Drosophila melanogaster: one gene and its partner. The protein of the gene in region 1 purifies or fractionates together with the protein of each later gene. This does not show direct contact. Each region holds a gene or a part of one and is shown on either strand. Other genes may lie near its edges.

Region 1 (5,197 bases):
CCAACACGGGATGTCATACAAACCGCTTGTTAAGCATTGTGAATAATTGAATAAGTGAATATTTGTACAGAGTATTTACATATATTTTGGTCGTTTTGCTTTTTAGCAACGCTCGATCTTTTCCATGTTTATATCGATGTTCACAACCAAAACATTCAAATGGGGAATGGGTAGCTGCACATTTTTGGCCCCCAAAGTGACATGGTCGCCCTGCTTAGCATATAGCCTGCAGTGCAGTGGAGAAATATATTTTTTTTTTATATTTTTTGGTTACATTATGCAAATATTTGGATGCATTGAGCTGCGGATTTGGGTGCAGCGACTAGTAATGCATTTGCTGCGACCCCGCTGGCCTTCAAAAATCCCATGGCTCGATCCACAGACATGCACCGCTGGCATAAATATTGATTTATATGAGCCTTAATGTATATCTAGGCACGTTCATGTGGCTGGCTAAATATTAATGCGGTCCAAATAAAAAGCGGCAGGCGCAGCTGAAATTGCTTGTCTATTTTATTTTTTTTTACTCATCGCCCTAAGCTGGCGTGCATTCTGAATATATTTATTTCGGCCTCTGTTTATTTCTATTTTCAGTTGCAGTTTTGGATTCTGTTTGTTTTTTTCGTATTTCGTTTTTGTGTTTGTGCATTTTTCATTACAGCATTGACAGTGACAACGACAACGACAGCGACAGGAGTGTGTGGCCCAAAAGGCCTGTGTTGGTGTGTGGCATGCAACAATGGATGCGCTAGATAGTCGCCAGTAGCACTCGCAGTTGCTGCGGTGTGTGTGCGTTGCCCCAGGGCCCCACTGTGTGTGTGCGCGTGCAAATGTGTGTGAAGACGTGGCACTTTTTTATGCCATTGTTGTTGTTATTTAGCAACGACTTTACGGACACCCTCTCCCCCCATCGACGCGGGGCACGCACAAAATGTGGCACAAGCAGTGTACTAGTTCCACATATCGGTATTCCTTGGAGTCGAGTACCAATCACTGCGAGAAAAATCGCTTAAATTGAAGACCAAATTTTATGTTGCGTTCAAGCATTCGAGAAATAAACATTATTTACAAATAAACTAGCAATTTATAAACATTATAAGAGGCACATTTTTTGTATATTGTAACTATTTAAGTAAGTTAAGAACTAATAGTTCTTGAGAATACATAGTCAGCTTTTGCATATTAAAAATATAATTTAAATTATTATATATAACGATTGACTATATGTTATTTATTATATGTATATTTTTAAATATTCATAAAGATATTTTGTTTAAAATGCGTAAAGCTTGAAAAGGGAATAAAGAGATTGTCAAAAGGATTACACCTGCATAAAAATCATAGTTTAGAAACATAATATACCTAATGCAACTAGAGATGATTATGATAGTTCCTGGTGTCATATTTTTATCGCAGTGCATATTCTATACCACTTTTGGCGTGTTCAATAGGTTTATTCGCATTCACATTTTCCCGATTGGACAAACTGGCGTTCTGCCGCTTTCGCTCTGTCTTATTGCCGGGCAATTTCTGGCTTTGTTGATTGCTTGACAAATTGCCAGTCAGCCAGTCAGTCAGACACAGAGAGAGAGAGAGAGAGAGAGATAGCGATGCAGGGCGCGAAAGAGATGGAGAGAAATGGCGACAGGGGGCAGCTTTCAGTGAGCTCAGTTGTAGAGACAAGTGTTGCTGTTGCCGTTTGGCGCAGGGGAATCCCCTGATTGCCGTTGTTGCGGTGTCAGCCATTGACAGGTGATGCACAGGTGATTTCCGCGCTCATCGCCTGACCTGTCACTGCACTCGACATCGGCAATGAAATGTTACAAATTAACGATTTCTCGACTTGGGCAATCTCGTGGCCTTTGTTGCGGCTCGTCCGTGATATTTGCCACATTTAATTTCATATTTCGCCAATTTGTCTTTTGACAATATTTCATGCATTACAGCGACGCTAATTGAATTAAATCGTGTTCGGTGAACAGTACAGAATAAGCGGAATGCAAATTGAAAAATCAACGGCATAAATAAATGAAAAAGTATTAAATGCGTCATTATTTTTCTGTAATTTCTACGCCTCGCTTTTATGTGGGATTTTATTTGATTTTTAGTTTTAGTGAAAAGTCATAATGTCTGTGTGTGATATTTACCGCAAATGCCGCATGCCGCAATATATGCTATTATAAAAATGAGTGCCGCTGGTTTTTGCAGCCTGTCAAGGACACGGCCATTTTTGATGCGATATAATCCACTTGATGCCGGCATTTTGTTGCTTTGTGTTGCTGTGTGTCGCTGAGGATGTTGCACTTATTTTCCGCTTGTTGTTGTAGCTGTCAATTGTTTTGCATTTGTGATTCAATTTATCAGAGCTTTAATTTGATTTCATTTGTCACTGCACTTGCATTTCAATTGGATGACATTGCATTAATTAAAACGTTTTTTCCCCTGCTCTAATTGTTGTTTATTTTTTTAGGCCCACACTTTTCGGTTATTTGATGTTTTCTTTATATTAAGCCTAATTAAATGCACTTTCTGCGTTGATTTATGCCCATTTGATGTGACCACATTGCTAAGCGCCATTTGCAATTAACTTTCCATATTTTAATTAAGCGTTTTTTTGCATTGTTTCATTTTCGCTTTTTGTTTGACTTGCTCGTTTTTTTTTTTTTGTAATCCTTTAGTCACATTTTAGCTGGGGGCACGTGGCAGCCATATGCCAGCACATTTGGAATTCATCATTTATAGTTTCGCAAAAAAAGCGCTCACGTTGCATGTACGTTGCGCATACGCCGCGTTGACCGCACCGAAACTACACTGCACCGCACCGAACCCGTTACCGCCGTGGTCAAAGTTCAACTGACTGAGCAGCAGCGTGGGAATTCGCCTGCCAGCCGCTGGTGTTGTTGTTTGGCCCTCGGTTGCACGGCTGCTGCTTTTTCCTGCTTTTCCAGCGCTTCGCTGCTTTTCCTTCTGCCGCTTTAGCCGCCTGTCTGTTTACTTTACGCTTTCGCACGCGACTGACACGAGGACCCAAGGAAAAGCAGGCAACACCAGTAGCAACACCATCACCAGTGGCAGTGGCAGCAGCAGCAGCAGCAGCAGCGGAAAAGTCTGCACGAACTTCGTGCGCTTGGCTCTCTCTTTCTCTCTCGACTTGCCTCTCTCATTTTCCTTTTGGGGAAACTCTCAAGTTTTATAGCATCTTGCGTTCGCGTGAAATGTTTGCTTAATTGGTCCTTTGAAACCGAAACCCAGTCCTTTCAATTTATATCAACTATTCCGTTTAAGGCAATCAATACTATAGTTTTTTTTTTTTGTTATTAAGCACTTGTTCTATTAACACATATATTACATTGCAACTAATGCAGCTAACCTTATTATATCAACTTAAAGAAAAGAGGTAAAAGCTAAAAGGTTATTATGTTTCATATATCATTAAATTTGGTTTAAATCCTTGCCATATTTTTGATTACCATTTCATTTAATTGTGTATGATTAGATGATTTAGGGCTAACAACACATTCAACTTTTAGGTATCCTTAATTTGCCTAAACAAGGCTCAACTTAACAGTTTTACATATACCGACACTAAATTTTTTTATGCCAAAAAAAACTAAATTTTTTTAGTGCATATATTGAAATTTTAATTTGTTTTCAAACAGCTTCTAGGATTGTCAATCTTCAGTGAACAGCTGGTACGATTTTTATAGCAAACATTTATCGCAAACTCACTACTTCCGGTCCTCTCTCTATCTTTCTCCTTGTTGTTTGTGCGCATAGTTGGACTCTCTCTCTCCTTCCTGCTTTCATCGCTCTCTCATTTTGTGCAGCCATTTCGCCGAGTGACGAAAGCACCTTCGTCACGCGTCTCGGCTCTAATCGGGTGCAAACAAAGCATCAGCAAACCGCTTCAATTTGGGTTATTGTGCTGAAATTAGTTGGTACCAAGTTGTGGGCCCTCAGCTGGGCGAACTTAACTTTCCATTTCAGCCAGCTCATGGTTTTTTTTTTTTGGCCACGTTTGGGCTCGCAGAAGTCGGTTGCATACTTTGGGGCTAGCCAGAAATCCGAACTAATAAATGGCTAACACGCTTTAGACCTTGTCAGGCTGTGAAAGCATTTTCGCGTCGAAGGCGCCATCTGCCCAGCTGCAATGTCACATTCCGCTTGAATTCTTTGGCTAACAAGGAAAACCGGGGAAATGCTGAGCTAAAACGCGGGAAAGTGTCTTGCAGATTAAATTCCTGAGTTTCATGCTTCAGATATATTAGTCAAGTCAAATGCAATGGACCACTGTTTAATAAGAATACAGATCTCGTTCATTTTTATTTTAAATAATTTTCATGCATTAAATTCCTTTCACATAGCTCTTTGCGATCTTTTGAATAATTAAAATCGAACGCCTCTCTAATATTTCACTTAATGAGTTCGATGTTCTGCTGCCCATCCAAATTTAATACCCAAGAAGACAAATAGTCGCAGCTTCTGGCCAAATTGCCGTTGGAAAATCATAACCATATATCAGGCAATGAAAACCTGACCCGCAAACATCTAGTCGTGTATGTTAATTCCCCTGCCCTTCCCCGTTCCACTCGATATCTGGCACACTGACCCACACTCAATCTCCCTGGCCGCCCAGTTTCCTAGTATCCCAGTATCCCAGTATCCGTATAAATGGCCGGCGATTTCTGTTGCCTGAGCACATAAAAAGTTACACTTGCTGGGTGCCTTGCTTTTATTTTATGTACCCGCAGCCGCAGATTGCTGCAGCTTTCATTATCTAAAAACAAGAAAATCACAGACAATCAGTTAACGCTGCTCAAGCAAATAAACTCGTCAGGACAGGCAAAAAAGGCTGTGGTGAAAGGCAGAAGAAAGTCGGCAGGGAAAGAAGTCCAGACGGGCAAGAAGTTTCCTTCTCGTGTCCTTTTTTTCGTTGGGGGGTCTCTACGCAAACTTAGGGAAAAAGTTCGACCAGAGTTTGCCCGTTCGTCGGTTCCAGTTTGCAGTCAATGGTGCGTCATTATTTTCATTTATTGGCACAATCAGTCAACGTTTTATTTCCGGAATGTAATTAGGTAAGCTGCCATAGACAAAGACAAACACACACACACACATACGCTCACACACACACGCGCACGCCGGAAACACGCAGACAGATGCAGATAGAGATGGGAGCCGTAAGAAGAAGAAGATGCCA
Region 2 (4,468 bases), on another chromosome or scaffold:
GAAGGGATAAAGCATAAATAATTAAAACTGTTCGCATTAGCAGATGGCAATAAAATAACTCGGTTTCTGGTCCATTCGATCGAATTCAATATTGTTGTTTAGTTTCCGAAAATATTGGTTTTGTAATTGACTTGACTTTGTTCAATTCAACTCAAGTTCCCCGAGCCCCACCATCTTGTCTTCGCCCTCCAGTTTTCTTCTCGTTTTTCCATTTTGGTTCGCCAGCCCGAGTTGAACGAACCTCTTTCAATATCTTTCAGAAAAAGAACCCAACTTTGCTTTGCTCGAAAATCAATATTATTGTTTAAATATTATTCTACGTATACGACACAGCGAGCAATAAATATTTACTAGATGTGCTCATGTTGCAAATTGTATTGGTTTTTTGGGGTTGAGTATGCAAAATCAGCAGGGAAATGGAGCAGAAATTGTTTTCGAGATTAGGAATTGAATAGGCGTAGAAAAAAATGATATTCTAGGAAACTAAATCTTAAACAAAGACGAAAAGCCTTCCTGTTTTGTTAGATTATGGTTCCAACTTTGTATATTATCAAGAACTGGTAAAAAAAACATACACGCGAATTCTTTAGTGGAATTCTTCCAACAATTTAAAAAATGATTTATTTATTGGATCGAAAGATTTTATGTTTAAAATTAAGAAGCTTTAGGAAATACTTCAAATATTAATTATAATGTATACATATAATTGTAAAGCTTTGAAAATGTAGTGATCACATAAAAAATGGGCCATATTTAACAACTTCAAACGGACAAGGTCACTTGACTCCAAACAGTTTTGTTGAGCACTTCAAAGGCCTGAATTTGTTCATTCAATTGGGCCAGTTTACTGAATATCAAATCGAACTTGGAATCAAAGTGCTGCACCACTGCTTTCAGTTCATCGCGCAGTTTGTCCACCTCGCTGGGATCAGAACTACTTGTTATGGGCGAGGACTCTACGCTGGCGGAGATTTCCGAAGAGGAGGAGGAGTCCACACCCTCTTTTTCGGGCAAGCGATACATGCAGGCTATTCCGTGAAAGTATTCCCCCGGAAAATCGGGATCGTAGTTATCCACGGTATAGGCAATGCCATTGGCACGAATGAGCACATCCATTATGTTTCTCAGGCTGAAGCAGTTCCAGTTATTTCCATGAATATAGAAGTGCGTTAGTTGCGTGAGCGTGGGGAACGCGGATGGATCGATTTCCGTCAAATTATTGCCGGATATGTCAAGTTTCTGCAAATTTTGCATACCCTGCAACGCCTCCAGCGGCAGTTCCATCTGGCCCGTATTCCGCAGCACCAGCATCTCCAGATGTGGCGTCCGCCAACCGTCGGGCAACTGACCCAGGTTCGGATTGTCCGCCACATCCAGGTGCCGGAGTCTGGGCACGCGGCTCAACGACGCCAGCTGAACCAGCGAGTTGTTGCGCAGCACCAAATGCTCCAGTGCCTCGGAGGCGGGAAAGTACAGCTCGCGCACGCGATTGTCGCTCAGATCGACATTCGTCACCGATCCGTACAAATTGACACGGTCCAGCGAGCAATTGCGAGCGGTCAAATTGGTGGCGTTAATGTTCAGCAGTAGAACGACCAGCTCGGGGTTATTCGATAGATCCACATACTGCATCTGATGGTGTCGTCCGCGGGATCGAAAGGCATACTCGCCCACCTCTCGCAGTCGATTGTTCTGCATTGCGACCGACAAAAGGTCCGGATTGTGGGCAAATAAATCGCTCTCAATGGTGGTCAGTTGATTACCGGCCAGTCCCACGTGCCGCAGACTCTTCAGTCCGGCAAATACGTCCGCGGCTAAAGCCTCCAGGCGATTCTCTGTGAGATCCAGGTACTGTAATTTCAGGAGATTATCAAACGCACCCGCCTGCAGTTTGCCTAGTTTGTTGCGATTCAGGAAGATAAACTCCAAGTTTCCTGCTCCCCTGAAGGTTTTCGTGGGCAGCACTTCGATGTGATTATCGCTGAGCAGAAGAATCACCAGCTTATCCGCACCAATGGAGAAGTTCTCCCAGTAAATGAAGCGGATGCCACAGCCGCGCATGTCCAGCTCACTGACCTCTAGTGTGTAAAATAAGCGCAGGGGAAAATTGGTGAAGGTGCAGTTCTCGAAGATCAGGGTTCGCGAGTGCTCCTCATCGCCCACTTCGTAGGTGGTGCCATCCTCGGCAATCCGCACCTCCGTTGGCAGATCAAAGGTGGCCTTCTCGTCCTCTCCCGCAAACTCAAAGCCCCTGCAGCTGGTCACCTTGCCCTCCGTCTGGCAATGACCTTCCAAGCTGGAGACCAGCACTATTCGGGATGAGCCACTATCCACATCAGCATCCGCGTCCTCATCCGTAGTAGCTGTGGCCGCCAATGAGATCAGCAAATAGCTGCAGAGGAACGGCAGACAATTCCGGACGTACATTTGGCGTGCTCCACGATTCACGTTCGACCTGAAACTGATTCCAAACGTTGACCGCCAAACGCCTGGCCAGATAAGCTCCTCTATAATGCTCAAATAACGATCATCAGTTCTATATAATTGCCATCCCATTCTATTCATGGTGTTCTGATTTTGCGAAAATAAATATGGTTCATCTGTGGCGGGTACAGCGCATTTCGAAAATGTAAGGCAGGGTTTTTTTCTTTTTTTTGAAATCGGATTGAAATACTATTTCTATTTCGAAGAATTGAGATGCTTTGGAAATCACTGCTGACTAATTAATAGATTTAATTACAATTATTTGTCTGGGAACTCCTTTTAAAAGAAATTAACATCTTTTGCTGTACGAGAGAGATGAAAATCGGTTTGTTTTTTTTTGTACCTATCATTATTTTGACACTTGTCTGTGCTGCTTTTCCGTTTATTATTCATGATTTTTTGCTGCTCTATGGAAGTTCTCGCTCTGTTGGCTCCATTCAAAACTCACAGACTTTGAAAAAAAAAACAAAACTTTGTACAATATCTGTGGAGCAATTCCCACTCATTTCCAGTGTGTTCTCTTATCATGAAGTGTTTACTTAGCGATTTGCTGAACAAAAGGTGGAAATCTCTTTTGGCTGCTGATAGTGGACATGAGGCCAGACATTCGCCCATTTTTATGTAAGAGTATTTTCATTGGGGCCCATCCATCTTTGGCTTTTACCATCGAAAATATAGGCGCGTGGAAACGTTGCTTAAAATACCTTCTATATAATTTACACAACAGCCATTTAGCATTTTGTTGGCACTGCCTTGCGTTGTGTAGTTTTGCTGATGATTGCCCGAATGACTCATTATTTATCAGGCGAACAATTCAGTGGAGGGCATTTGAGTTTCGGTTTGATAAGAGCAAACGAACTTCCGTTAACTACTTTGTCGTCTGCATTTATTCCTAGTCTTATTTTTAAAGCAATCAGGCAAGAATGTAGGCACCTTTACACGAAAAACATTCGTAAATATAGCGAAACCAGAACTTTCGCCTGCGAAGCGGTGACATGTCCAGTGGAAAAATGTGTAAAATATTTAGCCAATTATTTAGCCAACATGCCAGCGGTTTTGAGAACACGTTCAACCTGCTTTCTCAGTCGTTCAATTTGCCAGTTGCAGCTTAGCGGGCGAAAACAAAAAGATTATGACAGGTAGAGCCTTATTAATTTGTATGCAAACAAATTTATACGCTTGTTGAAATGTTAAAAATTAATTTTCCATTCGTTTGCGTTGGGATTTTCTCGGCTTTGGCCGCCTGGGCAAACAAACAATTTGAATATCGATGGCTAATTTTTTTCACTTTATGTATTCACAATTGATCTGCCTGTTTGCATTGGGCTTATTATGAGCCAATGGCTTTTAAATTACTCGACTCAAGACGACTTTTGTTCTTTGCATGGCATTTGCCATAGCTGTATCTGTATCTATTGTAGCTGTGTATTGTATCTCAATTGAAACGGCATGACTTCGTTTAGCGTCTTTTTTTCACTTTTTCGCCTGTGCCCCCTTTGTTGAATTCAATTTGCCGCAATTACTTTGCATACAAGTTTCGAGAAATAAAAAAAAAAAAACAAAGAGTGAAAATTACCAGGCTTTTATTCTGTCGAGACTTTGTCCCCGCCGTCTGTACTTTATTCAAATCAAATTCGCCCAATAGTTTAGCAGTGTAAACAAATGCGATATAGAAATATATTAAATCAGAACATATAGCGCACCATTTTACGCCTCTATTGTGGGTGCTTTTATATGGCGCCGTCGGTTTATGGCACTTGATTTATTTCATTGGGTTTATTGGTCATTCGAACGCTAAATGCTCAGGATATCCAAAGGTTGTTCCACCCATCTGACTGCAATGATGACGCAACTAGATGGTGATATAACTGGAAAATGAGCTAATTGCCATTCAAATTGGCAAGTTTATGTCCAAGTGCTTTTGTAAATTTGTTCTAAGGCGGAAATGCTTTCAATAACTATGGCTTTATAAATAATATCCAAT

Evidence for each region.
Region 2: the proteins of dpr13 (region 1) and cDIP purify together in Drosophila melanogaster (affinity purification with western blotting; 2 studies listed by BioGRID). This does not show direct contact.

The regions. Positions count from the first base shown.
Region 1 is NT_033778.4:18,004,887-18,010,083, forward strand, and holds the start of dpr13 (defective proboscis extension response 13), read right to left. Parts: upstream 3,017-5,197; 5' UTR 2,263-3,016; coding exon 2,148-2,262; intron 1,110-2,147; exon of another isoform or gene 509-1,109; intron 1-508.
Region 2 is NT_033777.3:21,158,628-21,163,095, forward strand, and holds cDIP (common Dpr-interacting protein), read right to left. Parts: upstream 2,466-4,468; 5' UTR 2,428-2,465; coding exon 763-2,427; 3' UTR 611-762; downstream 1-610.